Ovis aries: one gene and its partners. The protein of the gene in region 1 purifies or fractionates together with the protein of each later gene. This does not show direct contact. Links are inferred from orthologs where the notes say so. Each region holds a gene or a part of one and is shown in the gene's direction. Other genes may lie near its edges. The genes, in order: RNF123, UBAC1 and NFKB1.

Region 1 (3,644 bases):
AAGCGTCAATTCTTCAGCGCTCAGCCTTCTTCACAATCCAACTCTCACATCCATACATGACCACAGGAAAAACCATAGCCTTGACTAGACGGACCTTAATCGGCAAAGTAATGTCTCTGCTTTTGAATATGCTGTCTAGGTTGATCATAGCTTTTCTTCCAAGGAGTAAGCGTCTTTTAATTTCATGGCTGCAGTCACCATCTGCAGTGATTTTGGAGCCCAAAAAAATAAAGTCTGACACTGTTTCCACTGTTTCTCCATCTATTTCCCATTAACCCCTTAGCACATTACAGTTGACAAATATTTTCTCCCATTCTGTGGGTTGTCTTACTGCTCTGTTGATTGTGTTCTTTGATGCACATTTAAAAGTTTTAAAAATATTAATTTGTTTGGCTGCACTGGGTCTTAGTTGAGGCACGTGGACTCTTTAGTTGGGAGCACAGAGTCTTAGCCACTGGACCACCAGGGAAGTCCCTCGCCCCCATGGCCCCTCTGTGCCTCCACACTCCCAGCAGTCCAGCCCTTTGCTGTCCTGGACTTGGCCATGGCCATAGCTTCCTCGCAGCCTCATCCCCACTTGCCCCTGCAGCCACTTCTGCTCTGGGCAGCTTCTGATCACAAGGCACCCTGTCACTTAAGGCCTTGCGTACCTTAAAACAGTGCAGACAGGCTTCTGGCCGGGGCTGTAGCGCTGCCTTGCCAGGCTGGTGGCCTGTCCTGCCTGCCCAGCAGTGCTTGATCACACCTACCTGAGCTCCTCTCCCGCTTCCTGGAGTCTAGCCCTTACGTCGTGCTCCTGGGAGAGTTTTCCTCATCCCCCAACTGGGCTGCACCCCATGTCACTCCCTCGCCTCCTGCTCTACAGCAGCCTGGCAGTACCTGTCCGCCCCACCTCCCCCCGCAGGAGAAGATGCAGGACATTTACTGGCTGCTTCGAGTCTGCCTGCGGACCATCGAGCACGGCGACCGCACGGGTTCTCTCTTTGCCTTCATGCCCGAGTTCTACCTGAGCGTGGCCATCAACAGCTACAGCGCCCTCAAGAATTACTTCGGCCCCGTGCATAGCATGGAGGAGCTCCCAGGTGATGGGGCCATTCAGGCTGGGAGGGGGCAGAAAAGCGGGCCTTCACAAAGCGAGCCCCAGGAGCCCTGTTCTGAGCCCCCACGACCCAGAAGCATACATCCCACACGGGCTCAGACAGCATCACACAAGCGTCTGCACAAGTCCCACTTGGCGGAGAGCCCTGTCCTAGGACCAGCAGCCACAGACCTAACAGCTGCCCCCTGCGTGAGGAGGAGAGCAGACAGATGGAGTAGAGGGCGTGAGGGCCCCGCCCCGCCCCACCCCGCCAGGACTGTCACTTCCTTCTTGGTGCTGCTGTGGCCCAGGAGCCAGCCGGCCTCTCACCCTCCGCCCTGGCACTGACCATGGGGTGTGGCATCCCACGCAGGGGCAGGTGGGCTTGCAGATCACAGCAAGGAGCGGGGCCCCTGCTGGTGGCCACAAGGAGCAGGGGCTTCTCGCAGACCCTGGATTCCAGGATGGGCTTGGGTGGATTAGGCTGTGGGCTTTTAGGCTCCTGGCCTGTCCCCTGCCCTGCCCTCGGCCTCAGGGCCTGCCCAGCCCCCTTCCTGAGTCTGTGCCTTAGTCTCTGCCCAACCATTAATGAACGTACTGCCAAAAGTCCCCAGATGGCAGCTTGGGCCCAGACTGGCCCTTGTAGCTGGCTCTGGAGCCTGCTCCCCAAGCCCACCCACCAAGAGATGTGCCTGCCGCTGGTGTCCGCACTCCCCACCAGCTCATCCTGTCACCCCAACGTGTAGGCTACGAGGAGACCCTGACCCGTCTGGCCGCCATCCTTGCCAAACACTTCGCAGACACACGCATCGTGGGCACTGGTGAGGCACTGGACAGACGGCTCGAGGGGATGGGCACGGGGTGGCACCCCGGGCTGGCCATTTTCTGCACAGATTGCCGCCCAGGTGGGGGTAAGACATGGGCACCAGGATCATGCCAGGCACTTGGTGAGGTGTGGCCTGTCCTGGCAGACATCCGGGACTCACTGATGCAGGCCCTGGCCAGCTACGTGTGCTATCCCAACTCCCTGCGGGCCGTGGAGCGGATCCCTGAGGAGCAGTGAGTGGGGGTCCGGGGGCAGGGGCAGGCATGCTGCCCTGCACAGCACGAGCCTCACCCCGGGCCCACCACCCATTGCTCTCGCAGGCGCATCGCCATGGTGAGGAACCTCCTGGCTCCCTATGAGCAACGGCCCTGGGCCCAGACCAACTGGATCCTGGTTCGGCTCTGGCGGGTAAGGCTGGCTGGAGGGGAAGTGGCTATGGCTGGAGGGGTTTCCCTGCCCCACTGACCTCCTGCCGTCTCTACCCCCAGGGCTGTGGGTTCGGGTACCGCTATACGCGGCTGCCACACCTGCTAAAAACCAAACCTGAGGATGCCAATCTGCCCAGCCTCCAGAGTGAGTACCCAGGTCTGGCAGGCAGGGGGCCCTCACCCGCTGCTCTGAGGTTCTCACAGACTTCCCTGCTTCTTCCAGCCCCAGTCCTGGGCTCGTGGTGGGCCCCAAACTTCCTGTCCATCCCCCAGGGTTTCCATTCTCTCCTTCCTCCAATCCGAGGACACTCTGGGACTATCTCTGCAGCCCCATGGGTGCTGGCAGCTCACACACCGAGTGCACCCTGTCCGTTGTCCTCTGACCCAGCTCCCTGACCTCCAGCCGTGTCCCAACTCCCATCTCCTCTGCCCCTTTACTTCCACCTGGTGGTCCTGGATCTTGGATGCCTGAGTCAAGGCAGGGGCATAGACTAGGGGCTGGCCAGGGCCCCAGAGGGTGTCCATGGTGTTGCCTGGAGGAAGGGGCCATTTATTGGGAGCAAAGTATTCACTGTCCTGTGAGCCCGAGGACCTTCATTGGGCCCAGCCCAGAGTCTTGGGTGGTCTAGCTTGCAGAGCCTACCTCCCCCACGCTGTACCTGCCCCACAGTGGCTCGCTTTAGCCCACGGGGTGTTTCTGCCCTTGTGGGCAGTGTTTGGGCCTAATGGGGTCCCCAGAGACCAAGGGCCTTGTGGCAAGTCCTTGCCAGTTGCCTTGGTCCTGGCTCTAGGGTGGACCTGAGCTGCCCGTGGAGAGCAGGGGGGCAGATCCGTGTCCTGCTGCTGACGGAACTATTGATTTGCTTGGGGGAGGGCTGGCCAGCCCGGGTGCGGCTGAGGGCTCTGGTTACTGCTGCGTGTCAGCCCAGACTTGGCGCCCACCACCTCAGCCATCTGCCAAGGCCACGCCAAGGGCAGCAGAGGATGGGAGAATGGCAAGGCTCGAAGTAGGCTCTTGGGGAGGATGGCCTTGACATGAGTGGAGATGGCTCTGGGCCGCCCTGTCTGTCTAGCACACCCTGAAGGGCAGGTGACTGTGGACTTGCTGGTGCTTGGGGGCCATTCCAGAACTCGGGGTGGGTTGGGGGTTGGGAACAATGGCAGCCTGTGGTTGGCCCAGCAGAGGGAGGGGACAGGTTTAGCCCTAACCCCTGCTAGCCCTGCACGCTGTGCCCAGAGGTTCCCAGAGAGCCGTCTCTCTGCGCTTAACCAGCAGCCCCGTAAGGGAGGACAGAGGCGGGCAGGCGGGGCC
Region 2 (4,427 bases), on another chromosome or scaffold:
CCTCCTCAGCCCCCTGATGCCGCCGTGTCCCATAAGCTCCCCTGGGGCTAACCCCAAGCCCTGCTGCCCCCCCCGCCCCCCGCTGTCTCCTGTCTCGTGAGGCCATGTTTGCACAATAGATGACACTGGCAGTTCCTGCGTGAGAAAGCCCGTTCCCAGGGCGATAGTTTGGTCTCAAGCCCTAGTCCTGACCAGACCCCAGAGAAGGGTCTGGCTCATGGAGGCTATCGGTAAATGCTAAACTGAATAAAAGGAATTCACACACGAGCAGAATGATCACAGGGGAACAGAACCTGTGTATTAAACGGGAGACATGCCGGGACCACCTCCCCATTTAGATCACCAGCCTCCGAGAAAAGGGACGGTGTTGGATTCATCTCTGCTCAGCAAAGGTCCTTGAATGGATGAGATGCGAGAGTGCAGGTCAGTCACTTGCTCCAGGTCTAGCCTGAACTGCAGAGTGGATACTGATATCCGTTACCCCCACAGAAATGAGTGTGCTGAGTCTGCGGGTCATGTTTCTTCCCTGCGGTGCTCACGCACCGTCTGAAGGCACCTCTATGGCTGCGCAGCCTGAGTGCTGGGCCCCACCCCAGAGTCCCTGACGGGGGCATAGGGGCAGGGCAGGAGAAAGTGCACTTCTAACAAGCTCCCAGGTGCTGCTGGTCTGGGAACCACACGCAGAGAGACTCTGCTTTAGTGCAATGCAGTCCAAAGAACACAACAGCAGCCACATAGACAACCTAAAATCTAGCAGCCACAGCTTTAAAAAGTAAAAATAAGCAGTGCCAACATATTTTATATAGCCCATTCTATTCCAACACGCAGTCAGCACACAGCGCTTCCCCGGTGGCTCAGCTGGTAAAGAATCCTCCTGCGATGCGGGAGACCTGAGTTCCATCCCTGGGCTGGGAAGATCCCCTGGAGAAGGGAAAGGCTGCCCACTCCAGTATTCTGGCCTGGAGAATTCCATGGACCCTATAGTCCATGGGGTCGCAAGGAGTTGGACACGACTGAGCGACTTTCACCAACTCACTGTCAATATATAAACATTGTTGAGGTATTTTTCGTGCTCTTTTCCTGCCAGCTGTTTAAGATTCAGTGTGCATTTTACACTGAGACCCATCGCAAAACAGACTCGCAAATGCACGGCTCCCGCGTGGCCGGCGGCCCCGGCTAGCACAGCGCGGGCAGGTGCTGGACGAAGGAAGCGGCCCCGAGAACTACAACTCCCGGCGTGCTCGGGGAGCGACCAGTGACGCACTTCTGGCGCGGCGGCGACGGGGACGGCGAGGCAGCCGCAGGAAAACTACATCTCCCGGCGTGCTCCGGGTCATGCCCTGTGACGCACTTCCGGCGCGGCGGCGACAGCGCGCCCCCGGTGGCTCAGCGGCGGGGCGAGGGCGACTGCTCGGGCGGGCGGGCAGTGGGGCGAGTGGCGGGCGGCCTGCCGACGGGAGAGCCGGGGGCGGGGCGGCGGCGGCCAGCGAGGGAGCGCGCGGGCGGCCTGGCCCCGCCCCCGGCCCGCCCGCCCCGGTGACCTTCAGGGACCGGGCGGCGGGCGCAGGCCCCAGGCCCGGGCGAAGGCGGCGGCGGCGAGATGTTCGTGCAGGAGGAGAAGATCTTTGCGGGCAAGGTGCTGCGGCTGCACGTCTGCGCGTTCGACGGCGCCGAGTGGCTGGAGGAGGCGACCGAGGACACCTCGGTGGAGAAGCTCAAGGAGCGCTGCCTCAAGCACGTAAGGCCGGCCGCGGCTCCAGGCTTCCCTCTTTCTCCCGCCGCCCACTGGACCGTGGGGCTCCGGACCGGGCGCTTTATCCTCTACCTTCTGGTCCAGCTTCCCTCAAGACAGCCTGGGGGGCCGGGGCGCATCGGGGACGCGGGCTGGGAGAGGCCAAGTCGCCGCCGGAACGGGGCCTCCTGCGGTTCCAGAATCCATCCATCCGCGCTTGCTGTCGCGGCGAGGTTCCCGGAGCTGGGAGTTAGTGCCCACGAAGGTAGAGAGAGACCCGCTGGGAGAAGCGCCTTCCCCTGACCTTGCAGAGCCGGCTGCTTGGAGCCGTTTCCTGGGGCTGGCATGGGGGCCGGCGCCTGGCTCTGGCCACTGGTGCGCCCCCGCACCCCCTCACCGTGGCTGGAATCACTTAAAATAGTGTGGCTTGGCCGAACTGGTCCATGCACCCCTTGCTGTCCTCGGCCTTTACGTGGATTACACGGGCAGGTCGGGGAGAGGGCCGTTTTCTAAAGTTTGTTCACGTGAAGCACCCCTTGTAGGTTCCTCAGAGTTCTAGTCTTTGTCTGTCTCTTTAAGCTGCTCGACTCTGTAAGGCAGGCCAAGACATCTGTCCGTGTGACTCAGGCTGCCTCAGGAAACTCTATCCTTTGCACGATCTAGTATCTCCATGTCAGAATTTAGGACAAAGGAGGCCACAGCCTCTTACTGCTCATTTCACAAAAAAAGTGTGCCTGTATGCCAGTGACTCGCACGTTTGTTCTGGGCCCACCAAGAGTCTAGCCCTGGCTCTTTCTTTTAGTGTGGTCTCCAAGGACAGACTTGCAGCTATTGTTTAGTGACTCCCGCAAAATGCTGTCGGGTCCTTTTGGGAGTCTGGTTCTGTGGAGTTGTGTAATTGTTGCAAGCAGGCCGGAGAGCATTCTGGTTGCCAGAGTCCCCTTCCGGAAAACCCTGGATGTGAATAGCGTCTTGGTCTCACGTCAGGGAGGAGGGGGATGTGGGCTCGCACACTTGGGCAGCGATGTTTTGGCCGTTTCTGTTTCTGATGCAGTGATGGGTGATTTCACTAAAAACCGCCACGACAGCGCTCAGCGGGAAGGCTGGGAGCCCCCTGAGCGTCCAGGCTATTAGCGCGAGGCTCACTGCTTGCCCAGTGCAAACCTCTCTGAGATGCTGTGTCTACCCGGTCAGCACAGGAGCCCCTTGAGGGCTGGAATACCTTAATTAAAAAATAATGCCACTGGAAAAATGGTACCAGTGGACTTGTTGGACACACGGTTGCCACAGACCTTCAGTTTGTGAAAAGCCCAGTATCCGGGAAGCAAAATAAAGCCAGGACGCAACCAGACAGGGCATGCCTGTGAACGGAACCAGACTGTCAGTTGAGAGAGCTGCGTGGCGGTGGTGGCCTGTCACCTGCTGAGTCAGGCTGGGGGGTCAGCGGGTACGTTGGTGTGGCACTTAGTCTAACTCACCAATGGGAAGGATTGGCATAACCATCAAAATGCTATGTTCTGGAGGGAAAACGAAGCAAGAACTCTTAGATTCATGGAGGCTTGCTAAGGATTTCAGGAGCACCTGGGGTTAATGAGGGAGCCAGTTTCATTACGCTAACTATTCACATTATGCTGCCGATATTTTTATTCCAGTCGGTACTGAGGCGTATCATTTGGGATGTTTTCTGGCGTTATCCTGCTTTGAACAGAGATCTTATTCCACCCTGTAGATTTTATTCCAGGCCGAGGTGAGTGGCGGGCGAGCAGCAGGGGTCTTCCACAACCAAAAACTACTGGCATACATTTTGGGACTCAGAGCTGAGCTGTTAGGAGGTCCTCACACCTCTGTGCCTGTGCCTTCCTGGGGGCAGAGTTCGCGGCCTTGTGAGCCCTCAGGAGGCATTTCCAGTTAGGAAACGGGGTTCTCGAGTTATGTGCTTGACCATCACCCCGGAAACCTATGCACTGAGCTTAGATCGTGGTGCCACTGCTCAGCTAGGGCTCCTCCTGCCTGGCTCCCCGTCCTGCGTGCCCAAGCTGGGGTTCTCTGTGCCTCCCTCCTGCCCCTCTACCCGGAGGGGACACTGGGTTTCCTCCCATCACAGGACCTCTGGGAACTTACTGGGTTTTTTTACACTTTCTGTTATGCATATACGTTTTTAAATGAATAAAGCAGCTTTGTTAGTGAAGGTTTATTATCGTGACTTTTGTAGAAATGGATTGCCACTGTGGCCTTTCCCTTCTTGGTTTTGTATCGATTGGGACCACCGTGGTTATATCACGGGGCAGAGTAAGTCATCTTGTGTAACCGGAGGGTCACGATCTTAAGACAGTGGCCCCCTGTGGCGTGCTGGGTGTTTTCTGTGTGATAAGCTCACCAGCTCGCAGCCTGCTAGCAGGGCACCACACCAAGGCGTGTCTTCACATGACACTGATGTCAAGGGGAAGAAAGGCCGTCTCCAGTCCTCTGGGAAGAAGCGGGCTCGCTGGGGTCCTGCCCCAGCCATGGGCTCGGGCTGGCTTTCCCACTGCTAGGGCCCAGCTCACTCCAGCACCGCTGCTGGGAACAAAGGAAAGCGTGAATAAGCAGGCGCAGTGTGGGTGACTCACGCTTGAGTTCTGCTCCCGGCGCCTGTTGACAGGCTGCAGAGGACAGTTTTTTTTTCAGGAGCCAGTGTGCGGATTGTTTTGGAAAA
Region 3 (3,644 bases), on another chromosome or scaffold:
GGACTTGCTGAGGGCGGGCGCTGACCTGAGCCTCCTGGACCGCTTGGGTAACTCTGTTTTGCACCTCGCTGCCAAAGAAGGACATGATAAAATTCTCGGTATTTTACTCAAGCACAAGAAGGCAGCACAACTTATTGACCACCCCAACGGGGAAGGTAAGAGACAATCACACATCGTGGTGTAACCTCTGTCTGCTTTCCAAACAATAAGTAGCTACCAGATAAATGTGCCTATTTGATCTGCACCCCAAAGTGCTTTCCTTAACCACTGGGAATTCATCGTCTCTCATGGAAATTTCCATTGCTGGCTGCAGCTAATTCCTTTAAAGATGATCTGGAATAGTTAGTAGGAGGGAAAAGCAAGACCTGAGCAAACACCATTCTGGATATGTATAAAAAGTATTAGCTGCTCAGTCATGTCTGACTATCTGCGATCCCATGGACTGTAGCCCGCCAGGCTACACATTCTCTAGGCAAGATACTGGAGTGGGTTATCATTCCTTTCTCCTGACCCAGGGATCAAACCTGGGTCTCCTGCATTGCAGGCAGATTCTTTACCACCAGGGAAGCCCCCTCAATATGTAGAAAGCATCCTTTATTCAGAGAATGTTTATGTGCTCTCATTGTCTCTAGAACACAAAAGGAGTCTGGGGTTTACATGCAGGACAGCTGACTTACAGCACCTATAAAGACTGGAGTAGAGACCCATGCTGACCCCCAACAGCCTTGCCTCCCCGTGACCATCCCTATGCTTGGGCCGTAGGTCTGAATGCCATACATGTAGCCATGATGAGCAACAGCTTGCCGTGTCTGCTGCTGCTGATGGCTGCGGGGGCCGACGTCAACGCCCAGGAGCGGAAGTCGGGGCGCACGGCCCTACACCTGGCTGTGGAGCATGACAACATCTCCTTGGCTGGCTGCCTGCTCCTGGAGGTGAGGGATGCACTTACCTGCCTTCTCATTCAATTCCCAAGGGTATCTGGGAAAATCTTTTCAAAGAACAACTTGGCTAACAGCTCATCTCCCTACCGTCGGCTCTACCTGTGTAGTATCTACTGGAGGCTTCAGAATAGCCGCTCAGGCCCTCCAGTATTCCCCTGCCCGGCATCTCTGAGGATCTCTGCACTGGCAGAGCCTGCCTAGAATACAGCTGGGCCTGTAGCATGACCTGGAGAGCCACGCATGCAGGGGAGGTGGGGACAGAAGGGCGAGAGGACCTTGAGCTAACCGTTTTCTGTGTGGGCGGATTTTAGGGTGATGCCCACGTGGACAGCACCACTTATGACGGAACTACACCCCTGCACATAGCAGCCGGGAGAGGGTCCACCAGGCTGGCGGCTCTTCTCAAAGCAGCAGGTAAGGCAGCCTGGTAGTCAGCCCTAGAGAATGTCATCAGGAAGGCAAACCCAGACTGCTAGAGCAGCCAGGCCGCCTCCTTAACCTACGGACGTGCTGCAGAAAGGCACAAATAAATAAAAGTGGCTGCAAATCCCACTTAGCAGCCATGAAGGCTCTGTTTGTATTAGTAACCCTGGGTGCCATGCTGATGGTCATGTTAGTTTTTACTCACCTGTTTTGGATTTGGATTAAGTTGAGTCCCATGACAGGAGATCCTAAGGTTGAACTGAATTCCTTGTAGAATTTGGAGCAGTATCAACCTTAAGGTCCCATCACAGGTCCTCAGAAGGAAGCGTTTATTGGTATAATAAAGCACTTGAAGACTTCCATTTGTAAGAAAGGTCTCTGAGAAGCCAAAATGATAGGGACAAACACATGGGCCGTGTGTCAAGTGCTGTCATGTACCAAACCCTAAAAACTGCTAGCTTCTGTTGGGCTAGGTATTTCACACTGTCTCATTTAATCTTACTTAATCTGCAGTGACCCTTTGAGACACATCCCATTACTATTCCCATTTTATAGCCAAGGAAACAGACTGGTGAGACTTTTGCATCCCAGTTCCTGGACCCCAGTAAGGGGCAGAGCTTGAGTCACATCTTGTCACCTTGAACTTCCAGACTCTTCTCTCTCTGTTTCTCTCCCCTGCTTGGCTCAAGGATGTAGAGTGTTATTCCAATTCAACCCTTTCATCCTGTGAGATAAAGGAAAATTATTCCTGCTCATCTTTGAATCTCCACTGCCTTCTACATTTAGAACCTCAAAAATGTTTAATTGTAATTGGTATCTCAAGCCTGTCCTGGCATATTTGATTTACTTACAAGGTTATTGTTTTTAGAAAATAAATGCCTCACCAATTCAAGAAAATAGCAGATTAAATACCTTCTTTAAAAAAAACACAACTGAGACTAGGAAAAATATAAGAACCTTTTCTTTGGCACCGTATTTTTCTGACATCATATCCCAAATAAGCAGCCTTCTCTTTTCTCCTTCATCAAGCTGAACATTCCCATGAACAAGAGACGGTGATTGTAGTGTTTATGGTTAGTTTGGGGAGTCACTGGTTATGATAATAAAATGCCTTCAGACTAGAAGCTATGACCTTTCAATAACTACACATCCTACCAGAAGGTCTTCTTGGTGCTTTGCATTTAAGGATCAGTGCCATAACCCAGGAATAAAACACAACAGGTTGGCACTAGACAGAAAGCAGCTTTGCTCTTTTGAGCAAACAGGTGAAGACACAGAAACACGAGGTGCCAGGCATCAAGTTGAACACATGGGGCCTTAAGCCTAAGGGTGTGCCCTTGTTGTTTAGTCGCTAAGTCATGTCCAACTCTTTGTGACCTCACGGACTGTAACCCACCAGGCTCCTCTGTCCGTGGGATTTCCCAGGCAAGAACACTGGAGTTGGCTGCCATTTCTTCTCCAGGGGGTCTTCCCGACCCAGGGTTGGAACCTTGTCTCCTGAGCCACCAGGTAGCCCCTATAAACCACCGTCCTCAGTCCTCAGGTTAAAGGTGCATCGCTCACAACTATCCTATGGGGTCAAATGTGAGCGTCAGTCCAAGTCTGTGTTTTTGACAGTATCCGTGGCTATACAGAGCTATCATTGGTCACCTTTACAGTCAAGATATATTAGAATTTAAAGGCAGGTTTCTGGATATTTTAGTGGAAATGTATTTTATATATTCATAGAATCTGACCCCTGTGGGAAGTGAGGAGCCGAGAAGATGTGGGTTTTACCTAATGCTGTGTGACTTGGCTCCACAGGAGCAGATCCCCTGGTGGAGAACTTCGAGCCTCTGTACGACCTGGATGACTCCTGGGATGAGGATGGAGAGGATGAAGGGGTCGTACCAGGAACCACTCCTCTGGACATGGCCTCCAGCTGGCAGGTGAGCCCCGCTCCACCAGCGTGTTGGCTGCCTCGGAGGCGGCAAGTGGTCTTCCTCAGTCTTTATTCCCCAAAGCCCGCACCTGGTATTTTTAAAAGACAGGCTGCTTGTCACGAGCTGTATTTATCTTGAAAAGCCTATCCGCTAAAGATCTAGGTCAGCAGAGTTCTGAACATAAAAGCGTATGCCTAATCAGATCAGAGTTAGATGAGAGAAACTCAGAATTCACAAAGCGTGTTGCCCATTCTGAACTCAGACCAGAATCCTTCCCATCTGAGTTTCTGAAGCCAGGATGCACGGCATGGTTGGCCTGAACTTCAGTAAGTAACTGCTGAACATGAGACGAAATGGG

Evidence for each region.
Region 2: the proteins of RNF123 (region 1) and UBAC1 purify together in Homo sapiens (affinity purification with mass spectrometry; 7 studies listed by BioGRID and IntAct, counting the BioPlex papers as one, with this or other methods). This does not show direct contact. The link is inferred for Ovis aries from reciprocal best matches to the Homo sapiens genes RNF123 and UBAC1.
Region 3: the proteins of RNF123 (region 1) and NFKB1 purify together in Homo sapiens (affinity purification with western blotting; 4 studies listed by BioGRID). This does not show direct contact. The link is inferred for Ovis aries from reciprocal best matches to the Homo sapiens genes RNF123 and NFKB1.

The regions. Positions count from the first base shown.
Region 1 is NC_056072.1:50,536,610-50,540,253, reverse strand, and holds part of RNF123 (E3 ubiquitin-protein ligase RNF123), read left to right. Parts: intron 1-904; coding exon 905-1,082; intron 1,083-1,824; coding exon 1,825-1,899; intron 1,900-2,049; coding exon 2,050-2,137; intron 2,138-2,224; coding exon 2,225-2,312; intron 2,313-2,392; coding exon 2,393-2,477; intron 2,478-3,644. UniProt on the Homo sapiens protein: Catalytic subunit of the KPC complex that acts as E3 ubiquitin-protein ligase. Promotes the ubiquitination and proteasome-mediated degradation of CDKN1B which is the cyclin-dependent kinase inhibitor at the G0-G1 transition of the cell cycle.
Region 2 is NC_056056.1:3,450,642-3,455,068, forward strand, and holds the start of UBAC1 (ubiquitin-associated domain-containing protein 1), read left to right. Parts: upstream 1-1,545; 5' UTR 1,546-1,600; coding exon 1,601-1,738; intron 1,739-4,427.
Region 3 is NC_056059.1:22,544,663-22,548,306, reverse strand, and holds part of NFKB1 (nuclear factor NF-kappa-B p105 subunit), read left to right. Parts: coding exon 1-155; exon of another isoform or gene 156-762; coding exon 763-932; exon of another isoform or gene 933-1,252; coding exon 1,253-1,355; exon of another isoform or gene 1,356-2,088; intron 2,089-3,140; exon of another isoform or gene 3,141-3,167; coding exon 3,168-3,292; exon of another isoform or gene 3,293-3,374; intron 3,375-3,644.